Linked DNA regions of Alligator mississippiensis. The protein of the gene in region 3 purifies or fractionates together with the protein of the main gene of each other region. This does not show direct contact. Links are inferred from orthologs where the notes say so. Each region holds a gene or a part of one and is shown on either strand. Other genes may lie near its edges.

Region 1 (6,840 bases), on a different chromosome or scaffold from region 3:
CTAGTATCGGTGTACCTCTAGTTTCTATGCCCTTTTCCATCCAGCAAGATAAAGATAGTTAACAGGCCCTTTGTAAAGAGAGCAATATTTTTTTAAGATAAAAAAGCAATGAATCCTTTATTAATAAATTAAATTTCCTCACATCTGTTACAGTGGAATGTATTTCATTCATCACTGTAAGCAGCATATGGGTATCAAAGCATTATTATATATTAACATTGCTCAAATAAAAAGTGGAAAACAGAAATTTTACCTGTGTTTCATGATTCCAAACACAGACGCTTCCATTGTAAAGACTAGCTAACATCCATGGCTCTGTGGGATGCAAGTCTACACTCTTCACTCGGTCAGACCGAGCTGTTAGTTTTCGCTTAATATCAAGTCGGAGAGGCTATAAAATTAAGAACCCTAGGTTATTCAGTGTAAAACTGGCACTGAAAATCTTAACATATTTGTAACCCAACCAAATAAATGACAGGCCAAAAATATACCTATCTGATTCTGCTTTTCCAGGTATATACACATTATGGCTTTTCTCTTATCTTCTTGCTCTGATAAGAGATGTTTTGAAACATACAGGCACTGATTTTGAATGCAACACTACCACTGACCTCAGTGAGTCCCAAAGGAGCGCAAAGGATGTGTATTTCTCCTCTCACCTACTTGAACAATAACATTAAAAAAACAAAACCATGCATAACCTCATAATACTCTGCCCCATGTAGCCTTAAGCCCCAGAGTGGGTAAAATATGGCCCATGGGCCAGACCTAGCCTGCCAACTGATTCTATCCAATGCAGGTCATGGTGTGTAAAACCAATCCTGCTGTCCCCGGATGCAGAGATCCTATCTGGTGCAAAGCACAGCCCACCCTATCCCTACGCGCAGCTCTTGGGTATTCCAGGAGCTGTAGTCTGCAGGGCTGGGCAAGGGTGGCATGGCTGACACCAGCTTCCTGACAGACCCAGCAGCACTGGTTTCTTCTGGTTGCCACTGCCAGCATTTGCCACCAGAACTGGCCCTGCTGCCCAGGCACCCCAGCCTGCCTGCCCTGCACCTATTGCCAGGGGCACCAGATGGAGCAGGCGGATGGGCAGGGTCTCCATGGAGACCAGCCCAGGACCCCACAGGCAGGCACTCTCAGCCAGGCGGGTGGGATGGCGCCATGATTGGGCAGGGAGCAGCGTGCCAGTCACCCAGGAGAACCTGCTCACCTGGCACTCCTGCTGGAGGGTGTGGGACAAACAGGCCTGGGGTTGGATAGGACCAACTGGCATCTCCATGCCTCTCTCCTTCCTCCCCTGGCATGCAGGGTGGTATAAACAGCCATGATGGGACAGGTTGAGGCCAGTTCAACACTTCCTCCCCACAACCCCCCAGCCCTCAACAGCTCATCAAAGCTCCTTAAGTGTCCAGCCCAAATAATTACCCAGCCCTGCTTAAACTTCTACTGGCTGGCTAAATAAACGCTTCCAAGACAAAAAAGTCAGTAGATCTTAATATCTTTTCCTCTCTTGGGGCTTCTGCTGAGAACTCAAGGGAGAATGTCAGTTACCACAAAATATGGCAATTGTGTATGATGCAAAAACACTTGTCCATTATCAGCTGCCAAGCCAGATGAAACAAAACTGATCTTGACCTCTTTATTTAGGAGTGTTGGCAATCTGAAACTAAGTTACCTGACATTTTATGGGTATGCTATACCAAGGTATTTTTTTCCCTGGAGCATCTAGTATATGCCACAGAATGGAATATTCTAAAAAGAGCAAACTTAATTCTCAATAGTACATACAAAATGGGTTGACCTAGAATTGCTTGATTTAACAAGTTCTCTGGTGAAAGATTATCCTCCCAAATGGGTGAAATAATGCAATGTAAGCATTTGACTAGCTTCAAACTGAAAAGCAAAATGAGAACACTAAAGCTGGCATTAGCAAATATTAGACTTATTATATTTCTGAAATCCGGTAAACATTATTTCTTTCCTTTTAAAATATAAGTAGCTGACACACAGTTATAGCATATATAACCTGAAGACTCTCTCAGATACACACAGAACTTGTAACTCAGTGAGCTGGCTGAAGGCTTTTAATTTTTCACTTTCAACTCCCAGCCTGTAGGCCAAATCTGGCCCCTGGCATCATGTTACCTGGCCTGTGGAGCTCCCCAAGGCTGACAATTTAGCAGCCAGAGAGCAAAGGTGCGGCACCCCTGCTGTCAAATTTCCAGACCTGCGAGCCAGATATCAGAGCCCTGTGCAGTGCGGGGCCGAATTCCAGTGTGCACGGTGTGGCACACCAGGGCCCAATCCCACTGCACAGGGCTGGGCGGGGGCAGCGCAAGGCCCCAGGGTCCCCCCTGGCATGCAGGCCCTGATCCTAGCATGCAAGACCAGTGAACACTGCACCACAATCCCAGCACGGGGCTGGCAGAGGAAGCGTAGGGCCTGAGCCTGGCGCACGGAGCCCAATCCAGCCTGTGAGGTCAAAAAATTGAGCACAGTTGTCTTAAAACACAGTGGAAGAGACGGCTGTGCACATTTACTGCTTGAAGGTTTTGGGGACGCCTGTATTAGTGCCATCACGGCCCCAAATGACTCATCCTGGGAAAGCAGCTTCTGGTTGAGATGGTCTCGCAGCTGCCAGCTACTGGGTGACAGGGGCAGCCACTGGACAGCTGCCAGGGACTTGTGTGCTGCTGTCGCGGCCCCCAGGTCCCCGTCAGGGCAGCACCAGCAAGCGCAGCCCGTGCAGGGAGTCAGGGAGCCTCCTCGGGCGGGGAACGACGCAGCAGGCCAGGGTTGGCAAGAGGGCGCTCGTCGGCCCCCGGCCCCTTTACAAGCGTCAGCCTGTGCAGCACGGAGCGAGAGCCCCCCAACCCACTCCCGGCCCGGCCTGGCCTCACCATGGCTCCGGGGACGCCGCGGGGACGCCAAGGTGTTGCTCCCTGCTCCCGACACAGCGACGTGGAGCTTCCGCCACCTCTGCTCTCGCGAGACGCGAGAGACCGCCGAGAACATCGGACTTAGCCGCTCCCGGCCCCAAAGGCCGCGAGATCGAGGCGCGCCGGGAGCGAGGCACGACGGGGAGCACCGGCCGTTCGTGCCGCAAGGCGCTGTGCCACCGCGGGGGCTGCTGGGACTTGTAGTTCCCAGGGCTGCCGGCAGGTAGCTCAGGGTCGCGGGGGTCCTGGCGTACGTTATTTTGGGCGGCTCCGGACGCGCTCCCACGGCCGCGCCTGAGCGAGATTCCAGTGCACATCAGGCGGCTCGCAGCTCTGCTGCTCCTGCCGGGCAGGTTGGTCTCCGCTCCGCCTGACCCAGCTCAGGCCTAGCGTGCGCCTGCGCCTCACAGACTCGCCTAAGTTGCAGTCCTCCAGCGTCCCAGGTTGCAGTGTCCTCCCCCGCGCCCCTGTGTGGACAAACTTCCTACCGCAGAGCTCTGCTGCCCGGGGGCGGTCCTGGCACCAGCCCGCTCCCTCGCCGGCCCCGTGCGCTGGGGCTGCCTCCCACCGCCCGGCCACCCTGGAAAGCACGACCAACAAATCCCCGTTTATTAAAACATGGGACCTTCTTTAATTTACTTCTTCATTTCTTTTTAAATTCCTTCCTTTTTAACTTTTTATGTTATCCTTCAGCGACTGACTTGAGTCATTTCGCCACCCTTCCCTCACCCATTTCCTGTCCACCTCCCAGCTTCATATCCCATCCTGCCCTCACCCCCAAGCAGGGATACAAGCCTGTCCTGGCTCACCAGCCCCATAAAGCAGGACTTCCCAACCCCTGGGCTGTGGCGGTGTAGGGCCGCGAACGGTTGGCTGCCTGTCCACAGGAGGGCCAGCCCATCCTATCCTGTGGTGGTGGCTGCCACAGTTGAGGTTTGGTTCCTCCCGCCCGCCCGCCAGGTGGAAGTGTCTTGACTGCTGTTCCAGCCACAGGGCCCCACGCGGTGTCACCGGAAGTGACCGTGAACCAGCAAACTGTGGACTGGAAGTGACTGGCATACGGCGGACCAGTAGCCAACCCTTTTTTATACTGAGTATAAAAAACGTTGTCTGCTAGTTCGTGGTTTCCAAGTCAGTAGCCACTTCTGGTCTGCGGTTTCAGTCTTCAATCTAAAAAGGTTGGGAGCCCCTTCGTAGAGGCAACTTGCAGCTATAGCACCTAGTTAGACCCCTGCTTGCCAGCCCTCTAGTGGCAAGTCACAGCACTGCCGCTGGGGATGTCAGAGAAGGTTTTTAATGTGACCGCTCCAAACACAAGCTAGCATTAACACTGATCAACATTTGTGTGGCTTATGGTGTAAGGTGTAACAAGGCCCTAATCCCGGTTGACATTTGAGCAGATCAAAGTGAAATGTGTAACAAGACCCTTGATCATGGTTGTATCGAGGGTGTAACAAGATCATGTGTAATGAGACCCTCGATCAAGACCTTCATCATAGACAAGCTATAGAGACCATGATCTGAGCACACCCTAAACTCTGGGACTTTGCAGCCAATTTCATGATACCTGGAGTCTGACTCATGCATCTTAAACAGTTGAGGCTATTATTATTGTAGGGCTTTGGGGCAGGTGGAAGGAGAGAAGAGCCAGCAAAAAAAAAGATCGGGGTGGTGAAAGCAGGAGTTTTAAAAAACATGGGGAGAAGAGAAGTTATAGTGGAGGGTCAGGAACAGACATTACACATAAACTGGTTTAAATGATCAGAAACTGGTTTAAACCTGTAACAGAACAGACACTCAATGCACATAAACGAGTTTGAAAATGGCTGAAACTGGTTTGAGATAAACCTGGTTGAATGTAGTACCAGAATTAATTTATTTAGGCATTGGTGATGTGTAGGGGGTGCACATGCATCCCCTGATATTAGCGATGCACCCCTTGAGACTGGCCGGTGTCGGTGGTGCCTGCGGGCAGTCGCCACTTACTACCCTCCCCCCTCGCCACCAACACCACCAGCGGTGTCTGTGGGTGGTCGTCAACCACTTGTCAGTGCTCACCACCCCATGCCCCGCTGCCAACATTGCTGCAGCCACCTGCAGGAGGTCCCTGTTCACTGCTGCCACACCCCTGCTGCAGCTCTGGGCGGGGCTCTCTGCTCCAGAGCAGGGCTGGCCTCTCCCCTCTACTCCGTGGCTGGAGCTCCAGCAGAAACAACAGGCACAGCTGCCTGGCTTCCCTGTGCCCCTTCCTCCCACCACCACTCCCTGCTCAAGCAGGGATTCCCCCCTCCTCTCTCCCACAGCACGGACCATAACCAGCATGGGGTCAGCTAGGTAATGCTGAGAGGTGTCTGTGTAAGGCAGATAGGACAAAGGCGAACAGGACAGAGTCCACTTAGGGCTTTCTGGAGCTAATTAACAGGTCAGCAGGTACTCCATTCCTTCCTTGGAAAAAGTTGTTTAAGAAGAGCTTCAACTGATGAGAGAAGCTTTTGTTTTCTTGTTGGGCTGATAAATGCTGTGTAACTCCCTGCTGACTCCCTTGCTTGTCAGGAGCAGCAAGGTGGGGAGGGGAAGAACTCCTCCCTCCAGCTCTCCCAAATTAGAGCATCCTGCCAGGGAAGGGAAGGGAGGGATGCTGTAGCCCCACCCAACTTGAGCCACTGTAGGCATGCGCCTGCATTTTTTCAGTCCAGAAGGGATGTCTTTCCCGTTACTAACTGGTTAAGTCTAGCCAAGTTAGCCTGACCTGAAAAGATTGAATCCATTCAGGCTCAAGCTTTTTGAATGCTTTTCCTTAGCTGAGGAGTTCTTTTTCCTACAGCAAGTCCTGTCCAAAGAAGGGAGAAGATTTAAAAAGAAGTCTAAAGCAAGTTTCAAAGCAGCTGCTGATAGTGCACATGGGTTCAGTAGGGGAAGGTGAGAGAAGGATGTTTAACAAAGAAGAAAACAGCTGAAGGAGGAAGGAAGGAATTTGCAGTGGCATGAAATCAGCCTAGTTTGTGAATTCCTGCCAGAGACCCTTAATGTTTTAAAACCAAAAGCACAGAAAATTAATATAAGGGATGAACAAGTTCTGAGAACTAAGAAGGAAGACCTTGAGCGACTGACAAAGGATTTGAGAAATGTTAATATACAAACTATTCGCCTATTATTTGTTACAGGTATTTCTCACATTAAAAACGAACAGGCATGTCAAAAAGCACAATGTGAAACTGGCTGTTGTTTTAAAATTTTCGATTGCACACTTGGTCTTCACAAATTAGTTCCCGTACAGTATTAAACTAGCTGGAACATATTTACTGTTGCAGACTATATTTCCCTTATATGGCAGCTCCTCTTGAAAAGTCACCAGACTAACTGAGACACCCCATTATACATTGGTTATACTTAAACCAAAAAGAAGAAAAAGAAAAAAACAGTGATTTTACATAACTGATTGGCTGATGTGCACTGCAGGCTGCAGTAATTTATTTTTGATACTTCAACTAATTTTTTAAAGGCATAAAAGTGTAATAAAATTGCTCCATAATAAAGTATGCAAAATCCTGCCATTATTAAAATATGTTATAATTTACTGGATGCACTGAAGTAAAGCATAACTTACAAAATGAGGTTATAAGTTCAAGAGTAGTTAGTAGAAAACAATGATAGAGTGTTTCATCAGACTGGTTTTTTAAATCAGACTTTAATATAACCTTTTAATATAACCGGTCTGTTAGAACTTCTTTTTCCAAGATTTCAGCTTCAATCCTAGTGCTAATGATTAGAACTTTAGGAGTAACACTATTGCCAAGTTTTGGATTTGAATGATAATAGGGGAATAAAATTGCCTCTCAGCTGGATGGGACACTGTTTTTTGTTTATTCATTCATTCATTTTCCAGTTGTACAAGTTT
Region 2 (7,413 bases), on a different chromosome or scaffold from region 3:
ACTGGTGGTAGTTAAGGAGGAAAAAAAAAGTGGAAAATAGCTTAGCTTAGTGTAAACAAATATACTAAGGGTTTTGCAAGAGCAGCAGGATTACACTTTTTAACTTTTATGTAGTGACCATTTTTTTTTTTGAGAGTTGCACTGAAAAGCTTCTGAAAATCAACCCAGCTACTATCACTTTTGAAAGTTTGCATGCTAAAAATTTCACACATTTAAAATTAGGGAACCTCTTCCCAGGCCAGTAATTTTTGTAAGAAGTTCCAGTCCAACATGACATGAAAAGGCCCATTAATAATCTGAAAATAGAAATTATAATAGGTACAGGACTACTACAGAAAGACTATGTTTGTACCTATCCTACTTATTAATTTGCTAAAACCCATAAGAACTGCCAACTGTTTACAAGTATCACCAACAAGTCATTTAGCAACCACAGCTGTATGCAGAGTGAGTTTTAAACCTACAGTTGTGTATGTGATATAAAGGACAGCAAGATACCAGAGACACAATGTTGCAATGCATAAGGACCTGAATCCAGACTATGGCATTTAGTCCCAAAAAGGTAAAGACAGTTGGAGACCACTTCTTTTTCCCCATGTATTACACATCTCATTTCTTTGACTTAGCTTTCCTTCAATAACTTTCTCCAAGGTATACAAAAATGCACTTCCTCCCCACAGAAAGCCAAAAATAAAATACAGTAATCAAATCAAATTATTATTATTTTTTTGCAGGCTAGGAAGGAAGAAAGACTGAATTTTTTAACTATATGAGAGGCACTGAAATAATACAGTAATGGGGAATGAGAGAATCTTTCTAGATACAGACTTAACTCCAATATGAAAACATTGCATTAACTACTGTGATTATCACTGCTTCAAGACTGGTTTGTATTGGAACTGCTCACCATATTCAATGTTAATGTGTTGGTTTTTTTCCATAACAACTAGTCAAAACGTGTAGATTTAGACAATGTGATATTAGGAGGAAGTGAGTCATGTTCACGTTAGAATACAAAATGTATATGTTTAGTTTAGTAGATGAATACAGTTACTGTTCATAACAAGTGCCAAACTCGATTTCGCAGTGTTATGCAGAGCCAGAAACTTTGCATCCTTAAAGTTTTTTCCCAGGGCTAACTGCATTTGCAGCACACAACATTCTCCTAAATGACTTGCCTACTGTTTGTTTGTTTTTTTGAGTGGTGTATAACACTCAACTACAACACCACAAGGTTTTCAACCGCAGAACTGACTTTTTGGTAGAAACAAGAGGCTCAATGCCCTGTACCAAACAGGGCCTTGATCTGATAACCGGATTCTTGTGACACCTTATGCCTTCTTTGAAACCCAGCCTAAGAAAACCAATAAGACTCTGTACAGAAACAGAGGTCTGCTTTGCAAGGATGAGCTCGCAGGAATGAACCACATTCCTTGCCTTAGAGCAGCCCAGAGCCCCAAAGCAACAAGCACCAGAAAACAGCACAGTGTGGCCAACCTTAAGGCTACGAGTTTGATCAGTGGCATTTGTAGTTATACATCCAAAGTCAGGAGCATTTAATAGTGTAAAGGTTTGCACTGTTCCACCACTGGCTTCACATCCCCTGGTGCCACTGGAGAATAGCCACAAGCCTCCAGCCTGCAAAAAGTCAGGCCATAAGTTTGGACAGTGAGGAGCATCACCCAAAAAAGGCAGTCTCCAAAACATATGGTGAAGTAAACCATGACAGCTTATGCTCTCTATATATCTTATTTAATTAGTTTATAAAGGTGTGGTCCTACCCTGCCTTCTTTGACTTCAGATCAAGCCATGAAAGCTTATGCTTGCTCCTGCGGATTCACCTGTGCTCTCTTCATGTGTGTCTCTACATATGTATTGTATTTAATTAGTCTATAGAGGTGTGGGTCTACCTTGCCTTCTGGCTGACTTCAGACCAAGCCATGAAAGCTTATGCTCACTTGTGTTTGCTTGCACTCACTCGCACTCATGCGCTCACTCTCATCTTTCTCTCTTTATCTTATATAATTATAAAGGTGCAGGTCTACCCTGCCTTCTGGCCGACTTCAGAACGAGCTCTGAAAGCTTATACTTGCTTGTTCACCTATGATGTTTCTCTCTCTCTCTATATATGTATCTTATTTAATTAGTCTATAAAGGGGAGGGTCTACCCTGACTTCGGGCTGACTCTAACCAAGCTACGAAAGCTTATCCTTGCTCATGCTCACCAGCTTGCGCTCTGTCTTCCTTTCTATGCATCTTATTTGATTAGTCTATAAAGACGCAGGTCTACCTTGACTTCAGACCAACCTACAAAAGCTTAGGCTTGCGCCTGCTCTCTCCATCTCTGCCTCTCTCTCTCTCTCACTATGCATCTTATTTGATTAGTCTATAAAGAGGCGGGTCTACCCTGCCTCTGCCTCCCTGCTGGAGGGGGGGGAACTCCCTCTGTCCAGAACCAACCCAGAAACCTGCAGCTGAAGCCAGCACCTGCCTGAAGCGCCACAGGGGCCACGCGCACCACGTACAGCCCTTCCCGCCGCAACGACCACGCGCAGGCACAAATACACACACGTATATGTGCGCGCACACACACCCCAGCAGCCGGGCCCGGGCAGTGCACACCGGGCCGAGCGCCTGGCCCCTTGGTCCAGGGCCCCACTTCGCTCTCTGGCCCTGTCAGGGGGAAACTGAGTCACGGCCGCGCTCGGTTCACCCAAGGTCACGCGGAAGCCCGTGGCCCCCCCCCCCTCCGGCCCCCGCCCAGCCCCGCGCAATAGAGGCCTCCCCTGCCCAGTCTCCCCCGGCCCCCCAGCCCCGGCCCCGGCGCGGACCTGAGCGCTGCGGCCTGCTCCCCGGCGCCGCCTCCGGCCGGGCCGGCCGGGCCGGGCGTGGGCGCGCTGCGGTGCGGGGGCTGGGCCCTGCGGGCGCCGCTGTGTCAGCCCGAGCCCGCGCCCGGCGCCACCATCTTGGGAGCAAACGCGGAGATCGGCGCGGCGCAGCCCCGGAGGACTCGCGGGGCTGAGCGAGCTGTCCCGGCGTGCCTCGCAAGCGCGGCGCTCTACCCTGCTCTCCTTCCTGGCTACCTTCCCTCCCTCGCCTGGCTACCTTTCCCCTTCCCCTCTCCTCTCCTCCCGCTCCGAACCATAGAGTCCTCTCGTGCCGCGGCCTCTCCCTCTCGCGAGAGGCTCTAGCGGGAGGGCGGCGATGCGAGCGCGGCCATGTTGGGAGAGGGCAGCAGCCTGGCGCCCCGCCCCGTGGAACCACAGTCGCCCCAGCCCCAGCGGGCAGGGGATTGGCGGGGCGCGCGCGGCCGCGCTGGCGGGAGCGCTCGGGGCCGCGCGCGGGGTGGCGGCCTGCGGGCCTACAGACGCGCCCGCGTGTGTGACTGGTGTGTGTGTGTGTGTGTATAGACCATGTGCGCATGCATAGGCGTGCAGGTATGCAGAAATGTGGGGGTATGTATATATATGTACACATGCATGTATATATGTCTGTATGGACACAAGTGGATATACACTTGCATACATGTGCACGTACATATGCACACATGTATACATGCGTATATGCAGGTATGCGTATGGGTGTACATCCCTGTGTCTCTACATATGCATGCATTTATACATCCATGCGTGCATATGCATGTATGTATATACCTGTGTGTACAATGTAAATGTGTGTGCGTATGTATACACATATTTACATGATATACATTATACATACATATACTATATATATCGTGTGTATCTATATACATATGTGTATATACAGCGTTCATATACAGGGGAGCTCAGGAGTGGGGGTTAACCCCCGCCCCAAGAGGTGAGAGCCCCCCATAGGATTTGAAAATCATAACCTGCGGTGGGGACTCTGATTTTATTAGGACATTGTGATGGCCAGCCCAATTTTTTTTTGCAGACCCCCCACAAGACTCAAAGTATAATTCAAACCCTGTGTGTATGTATACACATAGGTATATGTATAGAGCACAAACCTTTGTGGGCTGAAGCTCACTTGTTCCTTCTAGGGCTAGGGTGTCAAACTCATCCGGCCCCAGGGGCTGGATAAGTGGTGTATGGTCTGATGGGACCCACAAACGAGCCCCGCATGCTGGATCCACCATGTGTTTTGGAGCAAATGCAGTGGGTCCCATGTGCAGCTCGGTTCTGCTCTGGCTGCTCTGGGACTGCTGCGTGTGGTGGACGCTCTGGGGCTAAGCAGCACAGCCCCGGGGCTACACTGCACGTGGCACACCCTGCATGCTGCCTGTGGCTCAACTTTGAGACCCACAGGCAGCACCAGCGGCCAGATGATAGGGCTCCAATGGACTGTATTTTTGACACTCATGTTCTAACATAATGTGTAGTAAGTAACTCCAGTGCTGAGTGAAGGGGAAGCTTTGCACTCACACCGTCAGCTTCTCCACAATCGTAATCTTGTTTAAACCACAGTCATAATGGAGTCCAGGCTTCTTCACACAGGAATATAAAACAGATCCTATCTGCACAGGGCACACATATTTATTGAATTTCTGCTTTTGGTATTTCTACTAAATATCTCCCATTTAAGACCAGCTGTGGGGTGTGCTCTTTCTTATCCCCATAGAAGCAGCAGTGGCATTACCCTCAGAAAGCTATAAGGTTGTTTCTCTATGTAGATACTTTAAATACCCTTTGTAAATCTAATATAATTTTCATAGGACATAAACTCTTAGGGTTGAAATGTACCTCAAATGTTGTCTAGCCCAAATGCCTGCATGAATGCAGGAATGCATGTTGTGAAGGAATTTATTTCTAAGCACCTAGAGGACAAGGTGACTGGGAAAAGCCCATGTGGATTTGTCCAGAGCAAGTCATGTTTGACCAACCTGAACTTATTCTAAGATAAGGAGACAGGTGTTGTGGATGCAGAGGGATGTCAGTGGATGTGATATACTTCAGGTTTAGTAAGGCTTTCAATACCATCTCTGGTGATGTTCTCATTAATAAGCTAAGGAAATACAGTTTAGGTCAGTGGTGTCAAACTTACCCTGTACCCCAGGCTGGATCTGGATTATGGGGTTTCTTATGGGTTGGATCTGGACCTGGCGGTGAGACAAGCAGCAGAGGTTACTGTGGTGGTGTGGCAAGTGACGGTGGTTAAGGGGCCATATGGCCGTGGGGTGAACAGGACTGTGTCACCCCTTCGGTCACTCTCTTCTGCTGCCAGCCACATCCAACAGATCTGTAGCCCCAGGTTCTTCAGCAGTACTCCCTGCTAGCCCCATCCCAAAATTTCCTGACTTGCCAGGAGCCCCCAGGCCAGATAGATCAGCTTTGCAGGCTGGGCTATACATTTGTCACCCTAGTTTTAAATGTAACTGCTGTAAGGCAGACACATCACAGGTTGGATCAAAGTGCTCAAAACGTATTTATCAGTGTCTGGGCGTCTAATTTCAAGTAGGTATCAAGTGGGGTTCCTTAAAGGTCTGCCCTGGGTCTAGGTACTGTTTCATTAATATCCTCATTAATAGTTTAGAGCAGGGGTGTCAAACATACAGCCCATGGGGCTGTGTAATCAGAACAGTAAGGCTTCTAGTGGGGCTGGGAATTTGGGGGCAGGACCTGCTGCTGAAATCTGGAGTACGGAGCCCCATTGGATAAATGTGTTGGTGGTAGGGCAAATGGCTTCTGCATTTAGCTGTGTAGTTCCCTTGTGCTACCTACCCCTGAGAAACCCCATGGTCTGGATCTGGCCTTGGGAGCTAGGTATATTTGACCCCCTAATTTAGAGCATGGGATTGAGTGCAAATATTAAATTTGCAGATGATATCACATTGAGTGGAGTTGCAGACACTTTGGAGAATAGGATCAGGATTCAGAATGACCATGGTAAACTGGAAAAATAATGAAGAAAATATGATGATAATTCCAAAATTCATGGACTAAAACTCAATAAGGACAAGCATGAAATACTGCATTTAAAATGGAACCATCAAACACAAAAACATAAATTGCTGTAGATAAAGACCTGGGGGGTCATGGTGGACCACAAGCTGAATCTGAGCCAAGTATGCTCTTGCTGCAAAAAACCAACCAAACAAACAAACCCCAAAACAAACAACAACAAAACCCCCCCAAAAAACCATAACCCCCAAAATAACAGGAGTATTATCTGTAATTCAAGTGGAGTGATTGTTTCACTCTCTTCAGCAGAGGCAAGGACTTACCTGGAATGCTGTGCTCAGTTTTGGGCACCACACTTCAAGAAAGACAGAGAAATTGGAAATAGTCCAGTGAAGAGCTGTAAAAATTATTAGCAGTCTAAGAAACATGATTTACAAGAGAAAGCTAAATGAACTAAGTGTGTTCATTCTGAAGAAGAGAAAAGTGAGTGGAAACATTGTAGCAGTTCTCAAATACCACACTGATGGTGCTGGCCCAGTGGAACTCAACATTTTAGGGTGGTGGGCTAGGTGCTTGTGACTGCTGCATCATGGGCCACCACAGGAAGGAGAGTTGGTGCAGGGGAGTGGCTGCCAGCATCAGAGGGAGGGAAGGAGAGAGGAAGGGAGCACCTGCCATAGTGAAGGGGAGAGGGAGAGAGCAGGGAAGTCTATGGAGGGGTCAGTAGCAGGATTCAGACATGGAAGGAGACATGCTGAATTGAGCTGCTTGCTGTTAATTTCCCATGCCATGGGCTGGATCTAGTCACTTTGGCCGTGAGTAGACGAAACAAGGGGCGTGTGTTCATGACACTTTAAAGCAAGCTAAATGCTTTTGCACTGCTTTAATGGTGTCAGTGTTTGCACGCCTCGTTTACGTATTGCGCATTAATTCCAGACGCTGTAGGAAATTCGGCGGTGTAACACGACTTAAATGACTTGGGGTGCAGCAAACAAACTCCTTCAAGGACTTTTAGTTTGCTGCCCCTATAGCTGCAGAGCAAAGCACCAGACTCCGTGCAGCTCCACAGCTCTGCAGGAAGCCCTGCAGGCAGCCTGGTAGCAGCCTGGGAAAGCAGGCTGTGCCCAAGAAAAGCAGTGAGCATGATCTTTTTTTCCACCCCCCTGGAGCCTGCCTGCCTGAGCTGTGAGGGGGCCCGGTGCTTCCCTCTGCAGCTGTGGTGCCCCCTGGGACCGCCCAAGCCAGATGCCTGTGGGCAGGTGCAGCCTGGGGCGGGGGCTGCTGTTGTCATGGAGGGAAGCACCAGCCCCCTCCCCTGCTCAGCCCAGGGACTGCTCCACCTGCTGGCAGCTCATCTTCCCCTCCCCGACGGAGATGCAGGTAAGTCAGCGGGGTGTGTGCACAACACAGGGGTTTAATCAGCCCTAAATTGAAGCGGTGTTTTTTAAAACCCACCACTTCTATTTAGGGCCCCCGTTTCATCTACACATGCCCTTTGGGGACAGGATCTGACCTACAGGCCATAGACTAA
Region 3 (7,618 bases):
CTACAACGGCACTTAGCACATGTTTTACTATTGAATGCTTGGACACTAGTGTTTTTTAACAGGGCCTGCAGTGCTTTCTGGGTGAATCAGACAAGCCAAAGGGCAGGTGGCTGTGTCAATTGGTCTTACCACGGAGGCCAGAGCAGCCTTAAGGCCCTGTCTTTGAGGACCCTCTGCTCTCTTTGATTCAAGTAAAAACCTGAAGGCTTGCACTGGACAGTGGTGTAGACAAGGGCAGGTTGGCCTTCTCCCTCAGGAGATCAGGTTTTAGTTTCTGCTGTTTATGAGCCCAGCAGTTGCAGGCTACACTCATCCCTCCTTTTGAGTCTGTTTTGCTAGATGGTTGCAGTGAAAGAGAGGTGCTGGACACCAGCCAGAAGCCGAGTGCATGCAGGAGGGTGCACTGGTGTTTAGCCTCTGAGTGGGGGGCGGGTCTGTGAGCAGAGGCTTCTGCATCCCTCCGGTGGCTGGGCTGTGTCAGCTGGCTGGCGTGGAGGAGCAGGGACTGAAGGTGAACCTAGCCCGGGGGGTAAACAGCCCCCGTGCTCAAGCAGTGCCGCTGAGTGGCTCCTTCCAGGTTCCCTCTAGTACAGTGGTTCCCAAACGTTTTCTTAGGGTTACTATATTTTCAGATCTAAAAAAGAGGACACCTGTTGCATGGTGGGGGTGGGGGGAGGCAGGCAGGGATACAGCAGTGCCCTGCCTCTGCCTATTTTGTTGCCCTTTGCTTCCAAGCCACCCTCCCCCAGTCCTGTGCTGTCCCTCACTCCTGACCCACATACCCCAGCTCTGCCAGTGCCCCTCACTCCCAAACCACACGGTACTCTGCCCGCTGGTTCCCCTCACTCCTGACCCACAGTCCCCTGCTCCCCCCCAGCCCTGCCAGAGGGGCCCCAGCTGCCCCTGTCCTGACCAGGCCAGAGCGTGGTGGCTCAGAGCAAATCCAGCCCCAGTGCAGGCTGTACGGCAGAGAAAGGGAGTCCTGTGACAGCCTCCACCCCGGGCTGGGGCTGCCACGCTGAGCCAGGAGGCCCAGCGACAGCATACAGCCCACCTCCCGCTCCCCTTCCCCCCACAGCGTCTTCAGGCCGTTTTGCCCCTGCAAACATAGGCACCAGCACCTGTGCTGCCAGCCTGGCTATGGCCCTCAAAAGGCACCCCCCCATCCCCTTCCCCCTCTGCTGGAGGCAGGCAAACCCCCCCCCGACCCTCCTACCCTGCCCCAGCCCCCAACCCAGACTTATTTGTCTGCAGCTCCCTGCCTAAAGTCATCCCTCCCCTTGCTCCCACCAGCGGACCAAAGCAAAAACCCAGACATTTGCTCAGATTTGAAAAACCTGCCTGGACAGAGATGGGAGGACTCAAAAAGAGGACATGTCTGGGAAAACTCAGACATAGTAATCCTATTTTTCTTATCGCATACCCCCTCCCAGATTTACCAGCTGCCCACATATCCTTACCAGAATACTTTAACCCCTTAAATGCCAATTATTATTATAATAAAAATTAAACTCACCATTACACAATTTCTCCTGCGTGCCCCCCAGAGATGATTTGTGTACCCTCAGGGGTACCCATACCACAGTTTGGGAACCCCTGCTCTAGTATAAACCTACCCAATGCCCTGGCCAAGCAGCTTGAAAAATGTTCTCCTGGCCTCCTTGAGGAATTTAAATGCGAGTTGCCCCAGTCAGCCATATCCACGCTGTGGCCTCCTGTTCCCACACCCAGGCTGTGCCCTCCTGATCCCGTACCCATGCTGTGGCCTCCTGATCCCACACCCAGGCCGTGCCCTTCTGATCCTGTACCCATGCTATGGCCTCCTGATCCCGTACCCACGCTGTGGCCTCCTGATCCCGTACCCACGCTGTGGCCTCCTGATCCCGTACCCAGGCTGTGCCCTCCTGATCCCAAAGGCTCTGCTACTTCCAAGTCCGGAGGAAATGCACCAAGAGTGGGGATGCTGTGTCTCAACATGGGACTGCTTGACAATATGAAGCTCTGTGGTGTGAAAGCAAATCGGTGCCCTTTCTTCTCCTGTTCCCCTGAGGTTGGGAACGTGGTAAGTAGAGCCTGACTTCCAAAAGTGACAGTCTGTGGCCAGTGAGCAAAAAGCCTCTCACAGGTAGTTGGAATTTGACTCTTCAGCTTCGCAGGTGCATTGGTTTGTGAGTGAGCCAAGGGCTTGTTCAGAGCGAATGAACAAGACCAGTGGCCCAGGCACCCAGCCCTTCCTGGATCAAGAAAGAAGTCTGCACTTGCAGGAGGAGAGATGGGTCCAGCCTGTGCAGACAACACTGGGTGGCAGCATGAGCCAGGCTGGGCGGTGGAGAGCTGCTGTTGCATTGGACACAGGCACCTGTCTCCTGCATGCTGTGGAGGAGTTGGGTGAGGGGAATCAATTCATACTGTTTACAGATGCACAGTCATGACTCATATCTTAGAGAGGCCAACCTGCCCTCGTCTACCTCCGAAAGCCGGCAGGGAATCCTTCTCAGAAATCCGGGGTGACGTGAGGCGCTCTCCCTCAGGAAGCTGGGGTAGCAGTAGTTCTTAACTTCTTATTCATTTTCTCTGGCAAACCCACTGCTGGTTTGAGCCTAACATATTTAACTCATTTTCCTTCTTTTTTTTGTGGGGCTTGTGATCCCACTTCATTGCTGCAAACATGCAGTTTGGGGTAGGGTCTTGCAGGTGTCTTTTAACAGTGAGGAGTAGTGTCGACACTCCCCAAAGCAGGAGGAGGTGCGGTGCTTCGACCCCCTAACAGGCCTGAAATACATTTTGGAGAATCTGAAAGATTGGTACAGGAAAAACACATTTGGAGCATTAACCGAGTGGTGATACAAGTCCCTTGGTTTGGCCCTTTCCACTCCTGCAGTTAAATCATTGTCAACAGGTGCATTCATCATCAGTGCTGACAACAGATGTCGAGACTACTTGGCATATTTTTCCAATTTTACCAGCAGGCTTTAATGGTATGGAGAGAAAACTTGGTCTAAAACATAGAACTAAGTAATATGCTTTGAATGTACAGACATATCAGTTAGGCTCCAATGCTGATCTTGACTGAGCCAGGACACACAAACATGCAATGGGACAGGAATTGGAAAATTGAATTTGGAGAATCTGCAACTTACTGCACAATACTCTGCAGAAGCAATTTGGTTTTCGTGCCCACTCTTTAGGTTTTCCAGTACTGTCACTTTAATATATAGCATAAGCAAAAAAACCCCCAAACCTGTGCTTAATCTAAAAAGTCTTTTAGCTTCTAGTGTGTCATGGTCCCAAATCCACCTGAAGTCTATGCAGGGTTCAACTAAAAAACAAAAACCCTGAGGTACTAATAAGTTGCCATCGCCATGTGAAACCTGGGGAGGAAGGACAGGGATTTGGCAGGTCAGAGTAATCTCTGCAGGAAAGGGCTTATAAAACTTCTTGAACCTTTCCCGTACCCCCACATCCCCAACAAACAGCATCCTAAAGGCAATGCTTCTTCCACAGATTGCATTTCCCTGTGCCATCATGGGCTAATGGAGTTTAGTTCCACTCTTAATTAAAGGACATGTGAGCTGTGATGGACTTTTCTAGTTGGATTGCTTTACTTTTTGTAGTAAAGTGAATAGAATTAGTGATGATGAGCAAAGACCAAAGCAGCTTTGTGATGGCCTGAGCATCATTTATTCCAAGGTTCAGATTTGTAAAGGTATTTAGGTTCCTGAAAATGCAGATAGGTGGCTTGTAGGATTTTTGAAATCTTTTCAGTAAGCTGTGTGGACACTTATTGTTTTGGATGGGAGTTAGGCATGTAACTTGTTCAGGAATCTGAAAAATTCCACTTGGTACCTATAGACTACACGCTATCTGTAGGTGGCTAAGTACCTTTGAAACTTGTCCCCAAGGGCTGCTTTATATCACTTTGCTTAGAAGATTTTTTTACGGACAGAAGTGTGGTTGTAGTGCATAACTGAGATTTGCACTGTGATTAGTGTTTTTCAAAATGCTTTAAAAAATAAGAGCTAGTGAGTTCGTGGAGCAATTGAGTCACCTATTACACGGTGTCCAGTTAATTTCTTTCTCGATTTGAAAAGACATGCTGTTAAACATTGCTAATATGAATGCACGTTCAAGATTAGAGAATATTGCAGGATATGCTTTTAATGAAGCTTGTAAATAGATGACCACAAGTGTTTGAAGTGATTAAAAGTTCAAGTTCAAACCAGACTGGTTATATTGAGATTCTCCATTCACACTTTATGGGGGGAGAAAAGTTAATTTAGCTTTTAAAACCTCATCCACTGTTGCTGGTTAATTGATTATTTGAATGACTTTGGTCTGACTGAGTGTTAAACGTGTTACGTGCAAAATAGTAATGGGAATCATTGTGGTACGCTGCAAGAGTGAAATAAACCCAGGGAATATCTTTAGCTAGAAAAAGCCAACATTGTGTACAGGCGCCCTATGACAATACTTGGCTTATAAAACTACTTCAGTTCTGTAGGAGCTCTAATTGCAGGGAACAACAAGCTTATGAATTTGTTGTCAGAAGGAAAGGGGAGGAACTTAGATTTAGGTCTTGCCTCCACTGGGAAAGGAAACATTGAGAGTGTCTGTGTAATCTTGTACTGATGAGCTGGCATTGCGCTGCTTTATCAAGATCAGTATTTCAGATCCTCTGCCCTGTGGTGTGAGTGATGGTGATTTTAGAATGGCTGCGAAACAGAAGAAAGGGAAACTAATCCAGAAATGATGGGTGAAATGCTAGCTGGCATTTAATGCTGTGAGATAAACCCGAAGAGCAGAAAACTATTCGATATCAATCAGGTATGTGGTGAATTGGGTTACATATATTTGTTAAATGTTGTAAAAACTGATAGCCACTAGGTATATCAACAGTAAAATACTTCTGTGCTGTGATCTCATTTAATTTATGGTTTAAGAGGCTTATCCTTTTACAAATTATGGTTTCTAAAGTATGATCAATGTGTGTTGGCTTGTGCAGATAAAAATAATCCCTAAACAGGTTTATCCCTCCAAAAATTCTTTGGTTTCTCGTACCATTTCCAGGACTCTGGACTATAGAATCTTGATTCTTTTTCTTAAGATGTTTTTAACAAAAGTTTATTAACATGGCACTGCTGGAGTGAAGCAGAGGTGAATATTTGCATGCAAATTCTAGGAAAACAAATGACTTGAGAGTTTCTTTACGATAACGCATTGTAAAAGCCATTTGCTAATGTGGAAGGGTCTGATCCAATGGATTAAACAGGAATCTTTGACATAAGTGGCTTTTGGATTGGACCCTTCCTGCACTGTGGTGCGTTGAAGCTCCAAAAGATGTTAGGAGCCTCCTTTTTCAATCTTTGTTCTTTCAGCTACTCTATTTGCCTAAGTGATTTCCCATTTCTGTTGTTCAGTGGCTAAGATTTCACTGCCAGGTGTCTGCTTCATTTTTTAAAATATAATTAAATGTCTTTGATATTGGAAAAAGCTTTCCCAAGTAGACAAGAGAGGGCAAGCCTTGTTTGTTAAGGGTCCTTTAAAAAATTCTAAGGTCCTGGTGTTATAACTGGAAATATAATGCTAAAATTAAGATAATACATTTATTCTGAATTAATATTAATATGCAACTGTATGAAGCCATCATTGGTAAGCAGAGATCTTCATAGAAATTAATTAGGTAATCTGCCTAAAAAAACAGTGGAATCATCTAATCTTATTATTAGACCCATTTAATAAGACTTAAAGTTTGGAAAAAATAAAATGCATATAGAATTGCAGTCGAGTCTGATACAGACATCGCTGTTTCATAAAACTAATAACATAAAACCCCTGAAAACAGCACATAAAGAATATAGCTGTTCATCTAAGTAAAAAAAGTTTTGGTAGGATTGACAGCACCCAGAGAAGCAATCTTTGTAATATTAAGCGATACAGCCTCAGAATCTGAATTGCTGGGTATAAGTAGCAATCTTATTTCTTTTCACACCCCTGAAATTATTTTTGCAACCACAGATATCTCTTGGAGGAAAAAGAATAATGTGGGAGGATAGTATCTTTTAACTGGTATCTTTTACATTTCCGATTCCCAGCACACAATGGTCAGTAACTACTTTTCAGGTTTTAACAAAAGTTCCTGTGAACTGTATCTAGTTAATGTTATTTATATACACTAACTTAGCAAAGATAGATGGTCTATTCAGTCTCTTTCCAATCATACACAAAATGTCTATGTAAGATTGAAACCGGATTTTCCCCGTTCTTTTCAGAGTAAGGAACAGAGCTAGCATTGGCATACTTAGCATAACAAAATTACATGCGCCCAGACAATAATAGATTCCTTCCTTATAGATTTTTTCCAAAGGGAAAGGAGGAGCAGGGGGGAGGGAATAGCAAAAAGGAAAGAGGAGAAGAGGTAGTGATAGCAGTAAAAAATGCTACCCAGTGTGGGATTTGAAGCTGATCTTGAAATTCAGAGAAGTTAGAGAAGATACGTTTAAAATATTATGCTTCTGTTAGATCCTTTGATTTCCCAATATTTTCATACTTTTAAAGCTGAAGTGAAGAAATAGTTGAAGTCTTCAACAGAATAACCCTAAGGCATTTCGGTTGTTTGGGTGGCAGGATTTCCAGATGCAAATATCAGCCCTTATAGGTGTATTTAGGTGACAATGAGTGGATGAAGTATAAAAATATGAAACTATTGGAAAGCTATTTTTGCTTCAGGCTTCTTTAAGAGAAACAATATGCACACACACATGCAACAGCTTAAATTTTGGTTTCTTTGGTTAATGCAGTTTTTAATGCTGGTTCTTGAATGCCCTTCTCTTCCCCACTCAAACACATATGAGTAAAATGGACAGCTAAGAGAAAGGGATAATGATTTCAGAGGAAGAAGGTGATATGAAAACTCATTTTCCCACACTCATCTTCCTCCATACACTTTCATGCCTGTGAGCAGCTTGCTTCTGCTATCAGGAGGAAGTATCCAGAGAAGGGTGTGCCAATCTAGTCCCCAAGGAAAGAAAAATATCAGGGCCAAAAAAGAAGACAGTTCCCAGAATAACTCATTGACTCAATCTGTTGAGACAGTGGCTACGTCCAGACATGCAGGCATGTGTGGTTTGTAGCATTGCAAACCTCTTTGTGGCACCACAAACCACACGCCCAGACCATTAAGACGTGCCCTGCGCTGCAAATCTGCAGCATGGCGGCAAAATTTGCTACCACGTTTTCCTGGTAGCAAAAAAACCACTAAAGGAAAAAAAGCAACAAACAGAGGCTTGGTCCTCCAGGGAGACACTCTGGCTGTTGGCCAGAGCATCTCTGCTATTTTGTTTGTGCTCCAGCATGGCGGGAGCAGGGAAAGGCAGTTTGTCTGAAGCAGGACAATTGTCCCTCACCAAAGCACATGTGCAGGGGTGTGAGCTGTGGCACCAAGTAGCGGCACAAATGTGTGCTGCTGCTATTTGTACCCTTGGAAGCACATGCCCCTGCACATCTAGATGCGGCCAGTGAGTTTTAATATTATACCTTTTGGTTTTGTATTTTAGCAAACCAGAAGTAATATATAGGGAAGAAATGGGGAACTCCTAGTCCCATGAGTCAACAGCAAATG
Region 4 (7,561 bases), on a different chromosome or scaffold from region 3:
AATAGAGATCATTTGTTCCCAAAGATCCCAATTCAACTGCAGGACAAAAATAAGCCCTGAACCAACTCTGAAACACTGACATGGTCACCCAGGCCTTCTTGTTAGACTTCCAAATGACTGGCAGACTGCTTTTAAGATACCCTTTGAGAGCCCTGGAGTTTTCTGAGTGGTATACAAGCAATGGTTTCAATTTAAAATCCGCTGTAGCATTACCATCAAGCAATAAAGTAAGTCGATCCTTGGACACCCTGAAACCTGGAATCAACTTCTCCTCTCTGGAAATGTAGGTCCTAGAAGGCATCCTCTCCCAGAAGAGGCCTGTCTCATCAGAATTGAAGACTTGTTGAGGCATATAAACCCCCTCCTCAATAATTTGCACAAGCTTATTTCTACAGCTGGAAGCTGCTTGGGTGTCAGCACTAACAGCCTCCCCCTGAATAGAACCATTATGCAAGTTGCTGTGCCTCTTAAATCTTTCGGATCACCCCTTACTTGCATAAAAAGGCTCAGAAGCAGACCCCTTGGGCAAATTTTTCTGTAAATTATCATGCAGACTCTTAGCCTTCTTCTGAATAAGCAGCATACTCAAGGGCATATGGCGTTGAGTCGTATCCTCAATCCACACACTTAACAGCTTCTCCATTTCTAACATAATTGGAGCCCTACGCATACTGGGTTTCAAAGCATTCAAAGGAGTTACAAATCTATCACATTCTTTTATTTTGTCTTAAATTTTCAACAGCTGACCCAGACAAATTCAACGCTCTACAGACCTCATTCTGGCATTTCCCTGCTTCAATTTGCTTCAGGACATCCAATTTAAGCTCCAGCATTATGCATTTGCACTGTTTTTTCTCAGCACTTGCATTCTCAGAGTCAGCTGCACGTCTCTGACTCATGGCACAACTCAAAAAACAAAGCAAGATGGTGACACAAGCACAAAAGAGCAAGAAAGAGCACAGAGCACAAAAGTTTTTGACAAAGCAAGATGGCAACGAGGCTGTGCACCGCTGACACTCCCTGCCCGATACATGAGTATTATAGCAAAACCCATGAACGCTAAGTGAAACCGGGCATCAAAGTGAAATGAGCACTATAGCGAAATAGCGTTAAAGAGAGGTTGCCTGTATACTTTAACTTTAATTACTAATACACCCTCACTGCACAACAGCCCCACATTTTCCATCATGATTTTCTTTTTAATTATGTGGCTGAAGAACCTTTTCCTATTGGTTGGAATTTCCTTTACAAGCTCTAACTCAGTAACTCAGTGTGACTTCTAGAACTTCTCACTTTATTGCTATATCTCCTAACCTCTAAGACTGACATCACTTAAGTAGCAAAACCAAGTACAAAGAACATTCATGCAGCATTTCCAGTCTTCCATACTACCCCATACAGTTTACATACCGTATGTATGTATGTATGTATGTACATTGTTCTATAGAATAGAGACCTGACATAAAGGAGACTAAACAATTCTCATTCTCTCAACAGAACTCAATTGAGACAAATTTCTGACATCTGATGTTCTCTCACTTACATATAAACCAGGAGTGGCAGTCACAGAGGGGATGAATTACTACATATTAGCAACAAACAAATTTAAAGCTTCAGGCAAGAGCTGCTGCATCCAGCTCTGTGGTCTGTGTCAAGGCAATTTTAACTTCTTAGCAACCGAGGCCTGCACAAACAGGGGCCACATACTGAGGGAGCTGCAAGCTCACCCCACACCATGTGAGTAGGCAGCTCTTTTCACCACTACTTTACTGCACATGTGGGCTGCCTCTCCCCACTGATCCACGTGCTCATCTATTTGGCCACGGGCTCCCTTGGCACTTCAGCCTGCATTGCACTTAGCCATGCTGTTCTTTTCCCATCTCTGAGGCAGGGGCAGGAGGTAGAAGCCAAAGAAGGGAGGGAGCCTGAAGACCCTGGCTCTTGCTGCTGCTGTCCAAAGACCAGCGTAGTAGTGGCCAAGGGGAGTCCATGAGCAGCAGATTAACTTCTTGTAGACTGCACACGGCCCATGAGCCACCAGTTGGATAACCCTCCTCTGTGCCGCTCAAGACTACATCGGGGTTATCAAGCATACCCCCAGGGGTACTTGAAAAGGGGCCAGGAGGTACGCATGGGTGAGCAGGAGTGGAGCACCGCCACACACCACCCCGCACCACCACCTCCCAGGAGCAGGGCCAGGGGTGGGGGTAGTGGCTCCCTTCTGCAGGCCACACAGGCACTGCCCAGACAGACAGATGGATGCAGTGGGGAGGAACTCACACATGGCAGCTGCCACCACCATCCACCACCCACACGGTGTGTAGCCCCCCCCATATCCAGCCACCACCAGCCAGAAGTGTACCTAGAAGGAGTACACTCCTTAAAGAAGGTTGAAAACCTCTGGACTAGATCACATGTGCCTATGCCATGGCTTGCAAGCCACAAAAGATTCCTGGAGAATGTAATGTGAATCCTCAAGAAAAAGAAGCAGCTAAATAAAAACCTTTTCTTTTTCTTCTGTGTCTGTTTATTACATCCTACATGTGATTTGCTTCAAAAAAAAGATAACGATGCATTATTACAGAGCTGGGCGGCAAGCCAGTCATCGACTCCAGACAGTCAGCATAAAAAACGTTGATGTGCCTGCCTGCAGCGCTCGGCTACGGCTAGAAAGGCTGGGAAGTTTGGTCCTGCCTGGACTGGATAACAGCATCGCCCGACAGCTTCACGGAGCCAACACACCACGCACCCGGCACTTAGCTATCTGGACGTTTGGTCACGCCGCCTACAGGCCCCGCTCTCCTGCCGCCGCCGCCAGGAGCCCACGCGGCCCCGCTCCGCGCGCACGAAACGGGAGGGGGGGGGGCAGCACGCGCGGGGCAGGGGCCACACACGCCGCCACTCCGCACCTCGGCTTTTTTTTTTTTTTTTTACCTGAATTTACCGCCAACGGCGCCGCCATCTTGGAAACCGACTCCCGCGACCCGCCGCAGAGAGGCCCAGAAATAGCGCGGGGCGTCCGTCGGAGTGCCTGATTAAAAAGCCCCACCTTTTGCCCCCAGTGCAGGGTGTAAAAGCGGGACGCAGTTGCCCTCATACACTACTGTGCCACTCGCAGAGAAATTTACAACACTCTTCGTTACTCAGCATCCCGAGACGCTTTCAGACAGGCAGGGGTGCCCTCGAATTCTTGGGCTCCTCAGGGCCCGAGCGCGGGAGATGCTGGGAGTTGTAGTTCATGCCTGGACTGCAGAGATGCCTAAACCCACGGGCTAGAATCCCCACGTGCCACCGGGCGCCTCAACCGAGGGTAGGCTGAAAGGGTGAACGGGAAGCTGGTTCCCTGCGGGAGCCCAGGCACTACCCATTGGGCCACGTGTTTTAGCGGTCCCGCTCCCAGAGTGGCTTGATCCGTGTGACAATGAGGCACCATGGACACATCAGTCAGCATCATTAATCACATCTCCTATTCTGGCCATTGACAACGGTAGTTATGCATTTCCAAAAACCACTGGAATAGAAACCAGACATTAAAAACAAAAACTGCTGCAAATAAATTGATTTTGTGGCTTATTGAGTCACATGTTTTGGTAAAAGATGTGATTGTAATTTGTAACTGCTCGTAGGGGTGCAGGTTGTAGCTGCGTTGGTCTAAGGACATAGACAGACACATTCTTTGGGTAAATCCGGTATCTTTTATTAGAGTTTTATTAGATAAATATATTGGATTTACCCAAAGCACCTTGTCTGCCTGTGGAATTGCTTGCGTGCTTTTTTGGTGGTGGCATGTTTTTCAGGTCAATGCTTTCTTTGCATTAACGTGCCTCAAACTTGTTAATAAAATGCTTTTTCAGGTGATAAAGAACTAACAAAATTAAACACAGGTATAAATGTCTACAGGATCAGGGCCACAGGTAGAACATTTTTTTTCTGTATTTTATCAGTCTCATATATTTAAAATAACATATCAATTTATTCCTGTTAACTTTAATTCCCTCCCTCCCTTTTTCCAGATCTTAATGATAAACATGTCTGTTTTTATGCCTCCCTCCTAGAGAAAATTTGTGAAAGGTTTTTCCATAAGGGTGTGTGCATTCATGTCACTAGCACCTAAAGTTAGTTGAAAACATTGGGGGGGGGGGAGGGTCATTGTAAAAGCATAAATCGTTTTTTGTCAGTTTTCAAAACCCAAAAGATTTCAATCTGTATAGTTTCTCATTGAAAAACTGGAAAATTTTAATAGACAACAAATTTCAAAACATTTTGATGAAAAATGGCCTTTCAGTTTTCTAAAATACAAATTAAATTCAAATGTAAATTAATTTTGTTTTTGAAAAAAACCAATGTTTTGAACCATCTCTACTAGCAAGTGTACTGGATTAGGAATCCATGTCTTGTGTCCTTTTTATGATAAACTTGGGTTTACACTCCAGTATACAACAAAGGCTTGCCTCAACTTGGGGCAAAGAACACTGAAATTGTGGAAAAATAATTTCTCAAAAGAAAGTTGAAAGAACTGTTAGGAGTGAAGAAGAAAGGACAAAACAGCCATTTGGTTATACAGCTAGAGCTACAGAATAAGCATTAATACCTGACAAGACTCCCTTGTCTGCAAGTAGCATGCTGGCCTCATGCTTTTAAATAATCTCTTTCTTAAGGCCCCACTAGCCATTCTAATAATTGCAGATTTGCTTTGGCAATTTCCATCTTGTGTTACCATAGAGATAGAAGATGACACTAAAAGATGTTTTCATTTGAGTGGCCAGTAGTTTTCACACTGAACTTTATTAAAATTATTACTTCTCTGGCTACAAAACAACGTTCAATAAACTACATTCATGGGAAAGAGACAGCAGATAGACTCAAGAAGAAAAGAGGCAGAGATAATGGGATGGGAAAGGAAATAAAAAAGGCTACGCAGAGAAAATAGGGACCCTAGAATAAAGATCAACAGCCCACAGCATGCATGCCGGATCAGGCCCACCAAGTAAACAGATTTGGTCTGCGAATCCTGGACACATCTGCAGCGATTCGGCAGTGGGAGGATGTCTGCCGCAATTGTTGGGGAGGTCAGCTCTGCAGCAGGGACCAGTATTGCTGGCCGGGGGAAGCCACCACAGCATTGTGGTGATGGAAGAAGCGGAGGCAGTGGCAGCAGCCAGGTGCATTAAAGCAGCCTGCTCTGCTGCTCCAAAAGATTGCTGATGCCTGCTCTGGAAGATGGCTGAATAGGGAAAGACAACTAAGGAAAAAAGACCAAAACCAAAATAAAACCCCAGAAAGACAAAATACAATAGCCAATGTAGAAGAAGAGATGTACAGAAAGGAAATGGGGGGTGGGGGAGGGACATCCTAGCAGAACATTTCCTCTTATAGGGTTTAGAGGATGTACATTTGAGAAATGGAATCTTCTTTTTTGTTGCCCACTCCTCTTGTTGAACTAATTTGTCCTTCCAAATCTCCAAATCTTTTTCCAAATCTTTTCTGAATCAATTTGGCAGCTCTGAATCAATTCAGAGGGTTTTTTTGGTCTTCCAATTCTATTTGGATTCGGTGATTTGGCCTCTGAATTGGGCCAAATCTTCTCCAACTCGAATCAGCGACCAAAACTTCACACACCCTTAGTAGGCAACCCCCGGCACATGTGCCAGAGTGTGGCACATGAAAGCATTTTGCTTGGCATGCACACCTCAGGGTTGACAGTAGGGAAGGGCCCGGGGCTGTGCTGCCACAACAAAGATCAGGGCCCTCATGGCTTCCCTGCTGTCTGTCCCTGGAATTCCAACATCTTACAGACAAGGTTGTGGGTGTTTTGGGCATGCTGTTCAAAAACGCATCTGACCCCTGATCTAGCAAATGAATGCACATGCCAATAAAGTTGAATTTGGTTTTGCTTTGATCTTAAACTGAATAATGTATCTCTGGGCTCCTAGCATATTAGCAAATCTTCTAATTTCTCTTTAACTGGAGAAAAATATTGATGCACCACACCATCTGCGCCCCTCTTTTCAAAATCAGAGATCTACTCATGTATGAAACCTGTGGTGGCACAGTAGGGGGCACTACTACTCAGAGCCACCTGCCTCACTGTGCCAGGCCCAAAAACCTCACTTGGGAGTCTCCCACAGGGTGCCTACAGCCAGCTGTCCCACTTCCTGGAGAACACCCGCAACTCTGGGGTAACGCTGCCACCACCCAGGTACTGGTTTCTGTTAGAGCTCTGTGGAGCCCAGGGCACACAGATCCTGTGAACCGTGTGGTTGCTTTGCCCACAGGTAATATTTCTGGGTGCCTGTTTTGGCCCAAAGCATCCCAAGATAACCTCAGGTAGGACTGAGGGAACATAAACAGACAACCTCCACTGGCTAAGCTGAAAGCAAAAAGGTCTGCCTCTCTCCCCTTCATTGTACCATAGCAAAGCACACTGTAACCTGTTACCTTCATTGATCAGGGCGGGAGCAGGGGTAGAACAAGGAAGTCAGAATACACTTTGAGTAAACATAAGCAATCAGAGTCTTATACAGCCTTGGACATAATAATCCTTTTAAAACATGCCTAGCCAAGACATAAATCCTAACTCCTGGCTAGTTTCTAAGTCTTTACTTACAGAAAATCATCCAGGCAGCAGCCTGGAGGTATATTGTCTGTTGCTTTCAAAAATGCCTGGCACCAGGAAGGGAGCATACCCCACTCCCCTCAGGAATTTATCCAGCCAGGTCACCTGGTTGACCAGCCTGAACAAAAACGAAAGCGAGAGAGAGAGGGGGGGGGGGGGGGGTCCACCTAGAATAACCAAAGTGATGAAGAAAGAAAGGAGGATTTCTTCACGGACTCATCCCAGGATAGTTCTGTTCTGGTACAAAAAACAGGTCTAACTAGTCCTAGGATAACATCTGCTCCTAGCTCAAGATAGCTATTTTAATATTATAAAAGCCTAAGTCTGTCCGACTGCCTGTCTGTCTGTCCATAACACTTTATTTACGCTTTGATTGGCTGACAAACAGCCAATCAGAGCACAAAGAAGTGTTTTGACAGAAGGCAGCCTGCCGCCATGATAGTGGGGATATAGGAGACGGCCTTGCTCCCCCTCCACCCTGCTCCCTGGAGGCAGCAGCAACAGAACGGGCCCGACACAGAGGGGAGGAGCAGAAGCACCATGGCATCAGCGGTGGCAGTGGGGCCAGGGGAGGACTGGGCCTGGGCCTCACGCGGGGCGGTAGGGAGCAAGCTCAAGTCGGGGGAAAAGCCAGCCCACCACAGCAGTGTGGGGGGGAACAGCAGGCCCGGCCCGGCCCAGCCCAGCCCAGCCCAACATGGCAGCTGCAGGGGAAGGGGAGAACGAGCCTCCTCTCCCCGTCGGACCCGGGTCCACTCCTCCCCCAGCCTCACTCCCCCGCATCTGCCCCAAGCCCACTCCTCCCATCGCCCTGCTGCTGTCAGGTTGGCCTGGGCCCGCTGCTCCATTGCCTCCCTCCACCGCCACGGCCTGGCTTCTCCCCACCCTTGGGCCCAGTCCTCCCCACATCGGGCCTGGACCCCAGGCAGCAGGAGGAAAGGGGGA

What was found.
Region 1: the proteins of ESR2 (region 3) and COPB2 purify together in Homo sapiens (affinity purification with mass spectrometry; 3 studies listed by BioGRID and IntAct, with this or other methods). This does not show direct contact. The link is inferred for Alligator mississippiensis from reciprocal best matches to the Homo sapiens genes ESR2 and COPB2.
Region 2: the proteins of ESR2 (region 3) and UBE3A purify together in Homo sapiens (affinity purification with western blotting; 4 studies listed by BioGRID). This does not show direct contact. The link is inferred for Alligator mississippiensis from reciprocal best matches to the Homo sapiens genes ESR2 and UBE3A.
Region 4: the proteins of ESR2 (region 3) and NUP205 purify together in Homo sapiens (affinity purification with mass spectrometry; 3 studies listed by BioGRID and IntAct, with this or other methods). This does not show direct contact. The link is inferred for Alligator mississippiensis from reciprocal best matches to the Homo sapiens genes ESR2 and NUP205.

Annotation. Positions count from the first base shown.
Region 1 is NC_081830.1:45,473,508-45,480,347, forward strand, and holds the start of COPB2 (coatomer subunit beta'), read right to left. Parts: upstream 3,014-6,840; 5' UTR 2,907-3,013; coding exon 2,904-2,906; intron 392-2,903; coding exon 254-391; intron 1-253. UniProt on the Homo sapiens protein: The coatomer is a cytosolic protein complex that binds to dilysine motifs and reversibly associates with Golgi non-clathrin-coated vesicles, which further mediate biosynthetic protein transport from the ER, via the Golgi up to the trans Golgi network.
Region 2 is NC_081824.1:341,771,460-341,778,872, reverse strand, and holds the start of UBE3A (ubiquitin-protein ligase E3A), read right to left. Parts: upstream 3,008-7,413; 5' UTR 2,832-3,007; intron 1-2,831. UniProt on the Homo sapiens protein: E3 ubiquitin-protein ligase which accepts ubiquitin from an E2 ubiquitin-conjugating enzyme in the form of a thioester and transfers it to its substrates.
Region 3 is NC_081825.1:291,561,615-291,569,232, forward strand, and holds the start of ESR2 (estrogen receptor beta), read left to right. Parts: upstream 1-4,601; 5' UTR 4,602-4,824; intron 4,825-7,618.
Region 4 is NC_081827.1:91,530,733-91,538,293, reverse strand, and holds the start of NUP205 (nuclear pore complex protein Nup205), read right to left. Parts: upstream 3,021-7,561; 5' UTR 2,963-3,020; coding exon 2,935-2,962; intron 1-2,934. UniProt on the Homo sapiens protein: Plays a role in the nuclear pore complex (NPC) assembly and/or maintenance. May anchor NUP62 and other nucleoporins, but not NUP153 and TPR, to the NPC.